3 linked regions of the Arabidopsis thaliana genome follow. The protein of the gene in region 2 interacts with the protein of the main gene of each other region in a pairwise test. Each region holds a gene or a part of one and is shown on either strand. Other genes may lie near its edges.

Region 1 (3,144 bases), on a different chromosome or scaffold from region 2:
CAATGACCGGATCGAAACAGAGGAGAGTTCATCAACAGACATAAGAAGAAACATAGAGAAAAGGTCAGGAGACAGAGAGAACGAACAGCATAGAATTCAGAAGCTGAGTTCCTCATCGATTGGATCTAGCAAAGAATTTAAATTCGACAACACGAAAGACGAGAATATCGAGAAGGTTGCAGGAAACAGCTGGAGTTTCTTCCCGGGGTTACGATCTGGAGTCAGCTAACCAAATTAAAATGACATCTCTTCTTCTTCTTCCTCATTACCAAAGACAGAGATATAAAACCCTATAAGTAACAAACCTTGAACATGGATCGTGAAAAAAGGTAAGAGATTTGGGTTCTAACAACTTATACACACTGAATAAATAAGCTTAAAGCTTTGATTTGCAGTTAACTTCTGTACTCATGTAGTTGGAAACTTTGGAATATTCTTGGATCAGCTCCTACATCTAATCTTGTTACATTGATATAAATTGTTTATTTCTTGTTTTACTGTTTCATACAAATATATTGTTTGAACTGAGATCGTGAATGGTCTTATTCTATATCATTACTAAAACATTTTCATTTCTGTTCTTTCAGAAACATAGATTCGGTTATTATCGTAAGAAATCTAATACAACTGTGAACTACTACATAAACTGAATTGTTCAAAAGAAAACATCGAAATAATATACAGAACAAAAAGGGAAAACAACAAGAGCTGTGAACCACAAAGGAATTAAACCGGGTTTTGACTCTCCTTATTGGAACCGGAACTAAACCGGGATTTCAATCCTCCTTATCAGAACCGTAATACCTCTTAAACGCTCTGGGTAGATAAACCGGAATCAAAACACCAAAGAGATTAAACGACCAAATCCCTAAATTAGCCGCCGCCAAAACTTTCCCGGCATACATCCGCCGCGCAGAAACCGTCCCCGTCACATCCTCCCTCGAGAACTCACTCATAATCCACTCCACAAGAGTCAAAACCCTCCTGGCGTTGTAAACAATCGGAACAAGAATCCTCGCCGGAGCAGAGAAGCCAAACATGGTCGCTAATCCTTCCATAAAAATCTGACTCGCTAAAAGAAACACGTGCGGTGCAGCTGCGCTAACACCGTTCTTATCATCCTCAACGATTCCTTCGAAGATGTAACAGATCGGAATGATAAGCCCGACGATCCCCGCCGCTGTAACATAGATACGGAAGATTTTGTTTGTGGAGCTTGTGAGAGGAGCGTCACGGTTTGGATTGTTGTGTGGTGGGAAGATAAGTTTCGAGAGGAAGAAGAAGTAGATGAGAGTGAGGATCGTGAATATGAAATCTTGGATTGTTACGAGACCACTTGCGGAGAGAACGATGATTATTGCGAGGATGTTTAGTTGTCGGAATGAGAAGAATCCGGCGGGTTTTCCGGTGGATGATACTGTTGAGGTGGATTGGGTTTGATGTTCTTCTTCTTCTTCTTTGGGTAAGGTTATGTCGTTGTACGTTGGACCGACACCTCCAGACATCGTTTTGGTGTAAGTTTTTTTTTTTTGTTTTCTCGGGAAAATGTGGTGAGAAAGTTTTAGAGGTGGAGGAAGATAAAAAGAGTGTGAAGAAGGGGACACGTGGCGGATAGTGAAGAGTTTTGAATGGAAGAGGTTTAGAAGACGTGGCGGATTATTGTTGTGCTCACAATTAGTTTAGATTTTATTATTTTAACTACATGCAGGTAATTTCGTAAAAGTTCTTAAGAAACATATAAATATATGTGTTAATAGGAAGCCTAATTATTTTGGCTTTCTGGACGTAAGTGCACTAGGCTTTGTAGTTATAGATTTCAATTATAAGCTTCAATGATTACTAGTTATAAAAAATGATATAATTAGTTAGCAGGAAATGAATCCGGAACCATAAACTGTAGAATTGATTTAACTAAAAAGGAACTAATTACTAGAAATCGTATGAAACAAGGCATTGTAGATTACTAGACTTGTAGTAGAATATGGAATATTGTAGATATTCTACAAGAAGAGCTTAGATCATGGGTGAGAATACTTGGTTGTAGAAACAACTTTAAATTCGACCTCCAATGTCAAAGTGTCATTGTCCAAGTAATTACACTCCCGATGGCTATAGCCGCAAAATCTTCGCAACCCCACCCTTGAGTTGATTTCTTGTAACAGACGTTAACTGCAAGAAAAATAAATATATGTAAGGTATTGAAAATTTAGTTAAGACTTGAAAAAAGCAACTAAGTGATTTATTCAAGAATATAGAAAATTGTGTTTCAAAGTTAATTATACGTTTCTGTGTGACGTGATTGTTGTATACATGTGGACGTGGGTATAATACTCGGAGATCTGCATGCACGTAAATCTTCTCATCCTCCGAAAAGGTTTCACTATCAGCTATATATATGCAGAAATAAGGACAACCATTTGCCATCTGCCTCTCTTCCCTTTGGATACATCTTCAAACACCTATAGAAAAGTCACATTATTTTGTATACACTTAGCATACATAGACGTGTATATATATTCAATGACTTATTAGCCTCACCATTCTCTTCCTCCAACTGAAAAGTTGTTTGACACATAAAGATTCTCTGTCAATAAGGAGAAACCATTGGCACTCCAGGAGAATGTGGATGGTGAGAGTTTCTGATCAAAAGACATCACTTCCCAATTGGTAAGGGGTGGAACAACCATCACTTCAACACCAAACTCGCATTTTTGCCCGTCGAATATATATCCATTTTTTGGATTTTCGAATAAGTGGAGAGGAAGCATTTGAGAGAATCCCCATACCATTCTTAAAGCATTGAAACGCTTTACTTCAGTATCTATTAGAAAAAATGGAGTAATTCAACGTGACATATGTGACAAATGAACAAGTCTTATATAGTTAATATAAATATTGAATAATATAGATATGTTTTAAACCAACAACTTTGAATAGTAAAGTACATTTGTTCTTTCTTATTGTAGACGAAGAACTTGACATATGCAAAAACTTCAGATGTGCTGTCTATTTCTACGTACATTGAAATATAACCACTTCCATGGTCCTCGTCGTTCCCTTTTGGATATATAATCAATTTCCTGCAGGTTTTCTTTTTAACAGAAATATTATTGCATAAAGTAAGAAAGATTCATGTTCTTTTCT
Region 2 (5,303 bases):
AATTGAGGATGGTTCATACTCTTCTGACGGCTATAAGTCAATCAAAGAAAGTCATGGTAAACGCCGGTTTTATTTAATTTTAGTTTGTAATGTCAAAACAATAGCTAGTTCTTTCAAACAAAGAGAGAAGTTTAAGTTACTATTTATAGCCTTACCAAAAGAAAAGAGTTAACGATTTCTGTATAACGATAAATTATTTGTCAGTAATTTGCTCTTTTTAAAAAAACTTTAATTCCTCGTCAAAACTCATTGATTTACACATTTCCAAGTTTAATTTTCTCTCTTTTTCTCTCTAAATTTGCTAATCCTATATACATATTTTTTTCGTGGAGTTGTCATATTTATCATTTATGAGAGCATGAAAAATCAGCGTGAGGAGAGTACTTCAAAGTTCAAAAATAGTCTTGTCTTTACGTTATAATTGAAGCTTCTCCCAAAGAAATTCTTACAGAACTGAAAAATAGCATTTTAAGTTTACAACATAAAATTTAACTCAATGTGCTTCTTATTTGTGGAGAAAAATCAAATCTAGCTTGATCATTATTGATGTACGAAATCAAACAAGTAACAAACGAGATCTCAAGGGAAGTTTAAAGAATCACTATTTTATAGATGGGTGTAGATCGCTTCTTGGATGAGTAGTTTGAGGACGACCGTCAAGATTCTTAATCGTCCTCCAGTGACTTTTCTAGCTCATATTCCTTGTTCAGTTGTTGTTCTATTGTTGATGCTTTGACCACTGAAATGAATACTTGTTAATTAAAGAATTTATAAAGAAAATAAACAATAAAACCAGTTTAACTTACATGAATTTTTGTTCACTGTCGATCTTAATAGTCTAAAATCATATATCACAAATGTTTAGATTAACGAATAGTTTTGTCTTCAACGAGGAGTTACACGAGTAATGGAAGCTTCGTCGACTGAACAATGCGTAGATGAATCAATAGATGGACCTGCTTGTTCCTGCTTGCTTCGGAAGAAAAATCCAGGTGGTCTAGGCTCAGCGAGAGCGATCAAGCTAGTAGTGAGCATTTGAACTATCGATGACATGGTTGGACGATCTTCAGCATCTTCCTGAACACATAGTAAAGCGATATGGATGCACCTAGTAATTTCGCTTGTTTGATAATTATCTCCAAATGACGGATCTACAAGCTCTGATGGCGACCCATTGCTCCATAGTCTCCAAGTCTATTGAACATTTTAATAATTTAGACTTTGGTCACGTTTTTAAATAAAGCAAAAAGAAATTAGAAGTTTTAAGGCTTTATACTCACATATGTAACCAAGTTGCCAACACTTTCATCCATTTGATAGAGACTACTATTCTTCATGCCGCTTATAATCTCAAGTACTAAGACGCCAAAACTGTACACATCTGATTTCATGGAGAATTGGCCGTACATCGCATACTCGGGAGACATGTATCCACTGCCATAATTCTTATTTTTTTTAGTTGATTGAAACGTATTACGGTCTATTGATGAAAAAAAAGTGGCAAGAGCAATACTTACTAAGTTCCAACTACTCTTCTTGTCATGGCTTCTGTTTGGTCCATCCCAAATATTCTCGCCATTCCAAAATCTGCAATTTTAGGATTCATATCATCATCCAAGAGGATGTTCCCTGCTTTGAGGTCTCGATGTATAATTGTGAGTCGTGAATCTTGATGAAGATAAAGAATTCCTCTAGCAATTCCTCCTATGATCTTGTACCTTCTTGTCCAGTCTAGCTTCATTTTCATCGTAGAGTCTGTACAGCGTATTTCAAATGTTAAGAACAAAGAATGGCATACAATTTGAAGATATCTTGGCTACGTACTAAATTTAACTGACCAAAGAGGAAGTGATCAAGGCTCTTGTTGGGCACAAACTCGTAGACAAGTATTTTTTCTTCTCCTTCCAAACAATAACCAAGCAGCTTTACCAAATTTCTATGTTGGAGCTTTGCAACAACAACAACTTCGTTTTCAAACTCTTTTTCACCTTGTCCTGATGTCTTCGATAGTCTCTTCACCGCAACTTGTAGTCCACTACTCAATGTACCCTACACGAGTAATTTATTTTAAGATAACCATAAGTATATAGGAATTGTCGGTAAGATTAATCATGAAAATGAAGTACTCAAAATGCAAGTATACAAGTAGAAGTTAGTATTTGTTACAAATATAGGATGATAATTAACGACTAGAGTTTCTTTGTTCCGCAACAACCTTTGCAAGTACAAGGTTGCTGCACTCATCCCATACATCTCAACTTTCGAAGTAATGTGTGTGAGATTTGATTTGGAAACAGGGGAAAAACAGAGTACATTGCTCTGTTCAATGGTAATAATACCTTGTAAACTTCGCCGAAACCACCTTGACCTAGCTTGTTAATTGGCAAAAAGCAATTCGTTGCTGCCTCAATTGCCTTAAAATCAAACTGAAGTGATCCTGCAGTCGTAATATCATTCCCATCTGGAAAAGAAAACTTCAACAGCTGAATTAAGTAAGAGCACAACAGACTATTCATTCTATGAGGAGATATGTTTATCACTGGTGTGCTTACCTTCAGCTACTGGTTCCTTCTCATTAAGCGTCCTCTTATTTTTAGCCCTGACACTAAAAACAGCTACTAATAGAAGAAAAAGTACAGTGATTGGAACAACAACTGCAATAATTATGACAGAGGAGTTTCCACCTTTTCCTGTATCAACAACAGCAAGAATTTTTTAAGCAAAATTCTTGTATGAAACTTGTGTTGAAATATGTAGTCAAAGGAAAGGGACTGTTCATACCAGGACGTGGTGATGAATCTTGAGGTGTTCCAACATTAGATTCGTTGTAAAACGCGTAATTATCGTATCTTGAAGCACAGCTCGGCAGAAGAATCCTTCCCCCAATTTTGTCATAGGTTACTTGATTGATGCCTATTTTCAGACAGTCTAAGCAGTCTTGTTCCCTAAGATCAGGAGTGCACCGAACCATTCCGTACAAACTCTGGGATGCATTTAAATCAATTTTTCTCACAGCCCATTTTTTGAAACTCCTGGCGGCTTCAACGGCGGCTAAGTTCATGGGGGTCAAGACCAAATCTCTGAACTGATCTTGTTTGACTGATAGAGGATTCCTAGCGCTCTGCATGAACATTCCTCCATCGGTGTTTAGAGTGGCTACTATATTCCTGTTAGAGTATCTGAGCAGACACTGCTCGTAATAGAACACGCCTTCTTTATCTTTTGGACACCGAGTCAACGTTTCGTTTACGGCAAAGGTGACGCAGCTACGGCAAACTTCCGACGAGACGTCGACGCGGCAGAGGAAAAGTCCGGTGACCCTGTCGGGGGCCTGTCCCGCCGTGGCGGTTTGGAATCCGGTGGAGTAAGAAGAAGCGTTAAGGGAAGAGAGAGAGGACAAAAGGGTTTTGAGATTGGTGGAGTAAGTGCTGTTACTTGAGAAAGTCGTCGTGACTGAACAATTATGATATAGGTAGAAAGTATTTTGAGCAGAAGCTGTGATGGATGAGAAAAGGAAAAGGAAGATGAAAGAGATCAGAGAAGACATGGTTCCTTTTCCTCGATCTGGGTTTCAGATCATGTAGCTCTCAATTTTTGAAACTAGAACTATATTTTTCCCTTTTTTCTATGAGACCAACAAGTCTTAGTAAACGCCGGTTTTATTTTATTTTATTTTGTAATGTCAAACTTGTATCGCGCAAAATAATAACTATTATTAAAAAAAGACAAAGAGAGAGTAGTTACGATTTCTAAATTACAATAAACTATTTGTCAGGAATTAAAGGAAAAAAAACAGCCTAACTTAGTTGGATATGATAAGATATTATTTGTCAGAAAAGAATCTTTTCTCTCTCTCTCTCAATTTTCTAATACAAGATATTATTTTTATATTTTTATTTTTTCGTGGACATCAGAAATTCAGAATTATGATAGCATGAAAAATCAGCGTGAGGAGAGTACCGCAAATATTGTCTTAAATTGTATTTACGCTGTAATTTAAGCTTCTTAAAAAAAAAAAAGTTTTAAACCATTTTCAACTCTATTTTAAAAGAATTGTATTCTAATGATCATCTCCAAAATAAAGTTTTTTCAAAAATAAAGGAAAATATAGAAGTAACCATCGAAGATGTCTTTACGTAACCGAAAAATAGCATTTTACACTTTACATCACAAAATTAAAGTCACTATGCTTCTTATTTGTGGAGAAAACAAATCGAATCTAGCTTGATCATTTTTGCGTGTTTTGAGATGACAATTTTTTCTTTCTGCGTGTTTTGACTTTTTAGATATGAGTCATTAAATGCATTCACATCCTCCAAGCATGTCTACTAGCAGGTCTTTTCCTTGTTCTGTACGTAGATGATGCATCGATCACGGTTTTTAGCTCTCGTTGAAATTGAGGCTAATGATTAACATGTATATTCTTTCATAAGCCCCAAAACCTAATATCAAAGATTGACTCACATAGTCCAAGTCTAGCACAAAAATTTCAAAGTTGTCAATTTCTTATTAATGTGCATGGTTATTCAAATGGAAATTTTAAACTGATGATTAAATTTCTAAGAACCACAAATAGTCAAATACTAACTACACCACCCACACATTATCTCAAGAAAAAAGAAAAATGGCAACGAAGAGTTGTGAATTAGTCCTCTGTTTCTTCGTCTTTTTCGTCATAAGCTTCAGTGCAATTTCTGTTTCTGCACAAACTTGTGACAATACTACTGGGACTTTCATACCCAATAGTCCTTATGATAAGAACCGCCGACTCATCCTCTCTACTCTAGCTTCTAACGTCACGGCTCAGGAGGGCTACTTCATCGGTTCGATTGGGATTGCTCCTGACCAAGTCTTTGCCACCGGGATGTGCGCTCCAGGTTCTGAGCGTGATGTTTGCTCTCTCTGTATCAGGTCCACATCAGAGAGTTTACTACAAAGCTGTCTGGACCAGGCAGATGCTTTCTTCTGGTCAGGTGAAGAAACCCTTTGCCTTGTTCGCTACGCTAACCGCCCCTTCTCTGGATTGCTCGTCATGGATCCACTAGGAGCGATATTCAACACAGGAGAACTCAATACGAATCAGACTGTGTTTGATATCGAGTGGAATAATTTAACTTCTAGTATGATCGCCGGAATAACTTCTTCTTCATCAGGGGGGAACAATTCGTCTAAGTACTACTCAGACGATATAGCTCTTGTGCCGGATTTTAAGAACATATCAGCGTTGATGCAATGCACACCAGACGTTTCGTCAGAGGATTGTAACACTTGCTTACGGCAAAACGTTGTCGACTATGATAATT
Region 3 (5,397 bases), on a different chromosome or scaffold from region 2:
TATATATATATATATATATATATATATATATAATAAAGATATATTTTTACAAATTTGATTGATGAATTTTGGTAGGTAAATTATTTAAAAATCTTGTCATCTATAGTTAATAATCTCTATATCTCTTTTTTAAAAACAAATCCAATTTTTCCCTAACAATTGATATTCTAGTGTTTCCTCAAATTAAAAATTCATGATTTCAATAAAATATAATCATTACTAAAATATATCTTACTTACTTAGCAAAGTAATAAAATATAATCATTACTAAAATATATCTTAAAAATTCTGCAGTTACTGCTCTCTGAGAGTTTCGATTCTGTTTTCTTACCGTAATCTTTCTTCAATTGTTGTTAACTTGCTATTACTAATATTTTTTGTTTACGACTTTGAGACTCTTCACATAAAGCCTTAGTGATTTTCTGATGAAGTAATCTTATGCATATATTCATGAGAAGACACTACCATATTCATAAATTTAAACAAAAGCTCATATGCTCAAGTTTTCATTTAAAGACCTGGTGGCTAATTATACCTTTCATTTAAGTGATGCAATGATCGATAAAATAATTGTAACAGAATTCCTTCACAAACGGGTAAACAATACAAAGGATTAGCCATCTTCAATAAAGCACAAAGAGGATTGAAAAAGTGGACAAGTAAAACCAATGATGAAAGGGTCTCTTGGGTCAAAAATGTACATAATTTATAACTGAAAAAAAGAAGAAAATTTGATGGAAGAAACGTGTGGAACATTAGGAGAAAGAAAGAGAGGGATATAAATAACCCAAATTTAGAAGATTTAAAATACCCGAAAATATGTGAATCTGTTTTGATTCGGCTGTTACATATATTGAGATGATAGGCGATGTGTTGAAGCTCAAGAGTTGTTATGTGGGAGAAGCTAAGGTAAGTTTTAGGATGAAACCGATGATGAGTCCGATGAGTCCAACCATAGCTGCCAACTTCAAGGATAGCCCATTTCCGCTGTTCCTCTGGTTTCTCCGCCTCCTTACCGTTTCCTGCAATGTCGTTCAAAAACATTTTAGGCAGTATCCTTTGTTATTAAGCACTGTTATGTTCACATGATTTTGTCTGAATGGTAATATGATTGCAAGCATTAACCAATGCTAAACTATCAAGGAAAAGGTTCATGGAAGCGTACCAATTCATGTTGCAGCTGTTGTGTTTGCTTAACGGCTGCATCTCGCTCTTCCTTCAGCCGCTGTATAGTCTGTTCATACATATTGATGGTATAAACGTCCAGAAAGAGGATTAAAACAAGACACGAATTAATCTTTCTTAAATTATGATATGAATGTGGCCACTTGTGAGGTTCTGTGAGATACATTTGTTCACCTTATGAAGAAAGGTATAATAATAACCCAAACAAAAAATTAAAGCTTTGAAAACCAGCGTATGTCTCACTGTCCCAACCAATCAACTCAGTCTGTCATTACAGTATCTATAGCTTGAAAACCAAAAGTGCGAATACTAGAAAGTCTAAAATTTGATTGAAACTTTGAATAATAATTCTTGCAGACAGGTATCACAAAAAAGGGACTATTCATAAGGTGTCTGTCTATGCAAGAGGTCCATGGTACGTCAACATACTAAGTAAATCATTACCACATGCAGATTAAATAATATAGGTGGGTACTCACAGAGATGGTTTCCGAGCTTTGTCCATCACCATTTGTTGCTCCGGATTCAGAGGATCTTTGGGTTGTAGACGGGGTAATATAAGAGACTTTGAGCTTACATTCTGTTAATGTCTTTCCACTGTCCTTGGTGAACTAGACACACAAGTATTGCATATATAATGTCAATTTGTTTTCCAAAAACTGCAGAAACAAGAAGAATCTTAATAAAAAAAGTTTTAAACTTGGATTTCTTACAGTGTCTTGAGGAAGTTCATCCACATCAGTGTGTGGAGGTACAATGGTACTTTGCAGGAGAAATTTGTCTTTGCACTGCATATCTGGAGGATACTCTCGTTGCGCTTGTAGAGTAACTATAATTAAGAAGATCTTAATCATCTCCATGTTCAAGTTTTAAACTGCTAATGAAAGAAGTTAGAGTATGAGGAATTACTATACCTCTAATGATGCAAGAGTCCCATGGCTGAATGACACCAGTGTTAGGTCTTACAAAATACTTCTTTGGAGATGTTGTTTTCACCTGATTGATGAAGCCAAAAACACAAAAGAAAGAAGCCATTGTAACAAACGAAATAACTTGATCACAAGACAAAGCATATGAAGTTGGTGGTTTGATGCAGAAATTACCTTGAAAGCAACATAGTTCTCTGTTTTATTGGCAACTTTAAGATCACAGTAGCTTTGCTTCTCAAGTTCAACTGAAACAAAATCAAAAATTCCAAATGTCATCCAAAGGAAGACCCTCCAAAAAGTTTCAAACAGCAATTTTCTTAATAACCAAGAGAATCAGCCTTATCTAAAGTCAGAACCTCAAAAGCTCAAAGAAGTTAACAAAAACTTGATGCTGGTGTATGTAAACAAGAGGAAAACAAGCATTGATGATACACACAATTTCGAAATCTCTAGAGAACAAAAAGATGGTAAATTCGAGAGAAGCCTTTTCTCATTCACATTTCACAAATTAAGAATAGATATCCCTAGAATTAACCAAGTATAGATGAGACAAATGCATGCCATTGATTAACGAAGAGAGTGTAGAAGAATGCTTACAGAGAAATTTGAGTTCATCAGGTTGAATGGAGATAAGCTGATTCTCGCCAACGCCGGTCATCTTTTTTTTTTGTTTGCTTAAAGCTACGACGACAAAAGTTTCACAATCAAATCTCTATTGAAAAAAGTATACAACAACATCAAAAAATCGAAGCCCTAATCCAAACAATTCCGATTTTATCTAACTTTTTTCCAGAAAAGGTAAAAAGAGGGGAAAAACTGAGAAATGAAGAGAGGAAAAAAAGACGGATCAAACCTGAAGAAAACAAAAGTCACGGTCCCAACGATGAGGGAGGAAGAAGCTGCTTATTTTTTTCTCTGGCTCTCCCGATAATCGCTCTCCACCAATATCCCAAAACTCTCCTCCTATCTCTCTCCTCTCGTTCTATTCGTGGTAACAAAGGCAAAAGAAGAGAGAGAAAGAGAAACGGGGAAGACGAAACCCAAAGGCGCTTCGTGGAGCGGCCACGTGAAGTCGAAGCAAAGTTTCCGTACGATTTTCCTCCGGCGTCGTCTCCGGGAACTGCGGGGAAGAAGAAAGAGCGAAAGAGAGAGAAGAGAGGGAAAAATGTGACACGTGTGAAAACAGTTGTGCATTGTAAGAGACGAAAAAACAAAGGTTAAAAGCGACAGGCTGGAAAAAAGAGGATGATGACGTGGCAGATATTGATTGGTGTTTGATTTTATATAGTGGCTAAAAAGGCTATAATGAGCTTTCAGGGTGGTAGGCCATTTTTCGTCTCTCACGATTGATGATATTTTAAATTTATTTCTCCGTGTCCATTAATGATTGATTGTTAGCAAGTAATTAATTATCGGACATAAAAGTCATCATACAGAGGAAAGAGACAAGAAAAATACTCAATCATTCGTTTCTTTTTTCCTGCTTTAGCTGGAAAATTCATTTACATGAATGAATTACATGATTTTACATGTAAAAAATCTATTTTGAAAAGCAATTTCAATGATTCAAAAGTTTTATTTTAATGATTAAATCAGTCATATTTCTGAAAAAGAATACTAAAGGGTCCAGATTCTACATACTCAAGATCAAAACAATCAACATTGATTTACTTTTCTTAAATTACTGTTACTGTAAATTACATGAAAAGAAATGAAATCCAAAAGACGAAACAAACAAACAATTATTACAAGAGAAAAGAGAGTAGCTAGCTACCTTTGGAGATTGAAGACAACACAAGACAAGACTGGTGTTGGGTTTGGTGATCATTTAAAAGTTGAGAGACGAGGAAGTTTGTCCCTCAGATAGTAAAGTCTTGCTCTTCTCACTTTCCTGTGACTTACCACTTTTATCTCCTTTATGTTGGGAGAGTATCTGTTAAATTCAAAACACACATCACATCAGATACATATTCTAAACCAAGATCAAAACATATTACTTGATTGTGTAGATTAGTATCTGTTCAAGATCAAAACATATCAGTTACATATTACTTCATTGTAGAATCAGCCAATAGTACTGGAAAGTTCATAGGGACTAGTATGTTATGATAACGGCTAGACTCTAGAGTGATTAAGATTAAAGGTTGGTGCGCGTTTCTGTAGTAAATAAGCACAAAGCTTGGTGACCTATAATGCTAAGACTTCCAGCATTTATGTACTAGTTCCTATAGTATCATACTTGGAGTAGCAATTATTTCCTTTTTTCGTGAAGAAAGCTAATACATATGATCAGATATAGAATTGTAAATCTCTTAAGTTCTCAAGAAGCGAAGACTATGACTGTTCACGATAAAAGAAGCTAATTCCGGTTTGTTTTAGAGTTCCTAAAATCTCTCTCAAAGCCAAAAGACTCCTTAACAAGGTCAAAGACCCTTAACTCTGACTATCTAATACTATTTACATTTATACTTATCAATATACCCGAGTAAGTGTGTGATAATAGGATAGTTAAGGAAGAATAAACTTACATGGGAAAGACGATTTCAACACCAATGCCTGCAATAATCCTCCGGATACGGATAGTAGTGTGGATGCCTGCATTTTGTCTAGACATCACAATACCTTTGTAGATAGATAGCCTACGTTTGTTCTCAGGAACTTCCTGTAAAATCAAACCCACCATGTCGTATCAAAATCTTGCAGTTAAATGCATAAATTGCATAAGATTATACGGGGACAATGAGTTTTACCAGTTTGATTTCTACAATATCCCCAGTCCTAAGTCCAGGAACCGGTCTTACAGTCTCTGCAACCTCAATAGCTTTCTTGTTCAGTAGCTACAGAAACAAAAAGCAAATCAACATTTCATTTCTCCAATGCCTAAAAGATAACTGATGATTTAAGAACAGGAGCCAAAACAACTACAGTATCAGACATGTATAATCAGATTCAGAGCCAAAACAAAACACTAGACAATCTCATAGAATCACATTGGATAATGAACTAACCCCCATGATATCTCCGAGCTTGACTCTCGTCTTCCACGGAGGTTTAGCTTCCTCCGCCGCAACAGTGGCTTCTCCTTCTCCTTCCGCTTCAGTTTCAACAGCATTCTCCACAACAGCCTCAGTTTCACCTTCAGTACTCTCTTCAGCTTTAGCGATAAACTCTTTTCTCTTCTTGGAATCGATGGCGAAACCAAAATTGGAGCTCGAATGATTGAGAAAAACCCTAGAAACTGATAGTCTTGAGTTCACTGATGATGCTCGTGGTAGAATTGAAG

What was found. The genes of interacting proteins can lie anywhere in the genome.
Region 1: the proteins of CRK19 (region 2) and AT5G52420 interact in a protein complementation assay, tested with the Arabidopsis thaliana proteins (one large-scale study listed by BioGRID).
Region 3: the proteins of CRK19 (region 2) and AT5G47180 interact in a protein complementation assay, tested with the Arabidopsis thaliana proteins (one large-scale study listed by BioGRID).

Annotation. Positions count from the first base shown.
Region 1 is NC_003076.8:21,280,178-21,283,321, reverse strand, and holds AT5G52420 (uncharacterized protein), read right to left. Parts: upstream 1,550-3,144; 5' UTR 1,506-1,549; coding exon 777-1,505; 3' UTR 516-776; downstream 1-515. Other genes in the region: AT5G52430 (hydroxyproline-rich glycoprotein family protein), read left to right, coding at 1-229.
Region 2 is NC_003075.7:12,169,377-12,174,679, reverse strand, and holds CRK19 (cysteine-rich RLK (RECEPTOR-like protein kinase) 19), read right to left. Parts: upstream 3,664-5,303; 5' UTR 3,548-3,663; coding exon 2,782-3,547; intron 2,691-2,781; coding exon 2,553-2,690; intron 2,462-2,552; coding exon 2,340-2,461; intron 2,050-2,339; coding exon 1,839-2,049; intron 1,756-1,838; coding exon 1,518-1,755; intron 1,435-1,517; coding exon 1,281-1,434; intron 1,195-1,280; coding exon 901-1,194; coding exon of another isoform or gene 886-900; exon of another isoform or gene 740-885; coding exon 719-739; coding exon of another isoform or gene 635-718; 3' UTR 503-634; downstream 1-502. Other genes in the region: AT4G23271 (uncharacterized protein), read left to right, coding at 635-736; CRK18 (cysteine-rich RLK (RECEPTOR-like protein kinase) 18), read left to right, coding at 4,625-5,303.
Region 3 is NC_003076.8:19,160,494-19,165,890, forward strand, and holds AT5G47180 (Plant VAMP (vesicle-associated membrane protein) family protein), read right to left. Parts: upstream 3,488-5,397; 5' UTR 2,773-3,487; coding exon 2,712-2,772; intron 2,360-2,711; coding exon 2,289-2,359; intron 2,182-2,288; coding exon 2,100-2,181; intron 2,015-2,099; coding exon 1,899-2,014; intron 1,797-1,898; coding exon 1,665-1,796; intron 1,235-1,664; coding exon 1,166-1,234; intron 1,023-1,165; coding exon 891-1,022; 3' UTR 516-890; downstream 1-515. Other genes in the region: AT5G47190 (Ribosomal protein L19 family protein), read right to left, coding at 3,939-4,047, 4,643-4,776, 4,865-4,951, 5,123-5,397. UniProt on the Arabidopsis thaliana protein: May play a role in vesicle trafficking.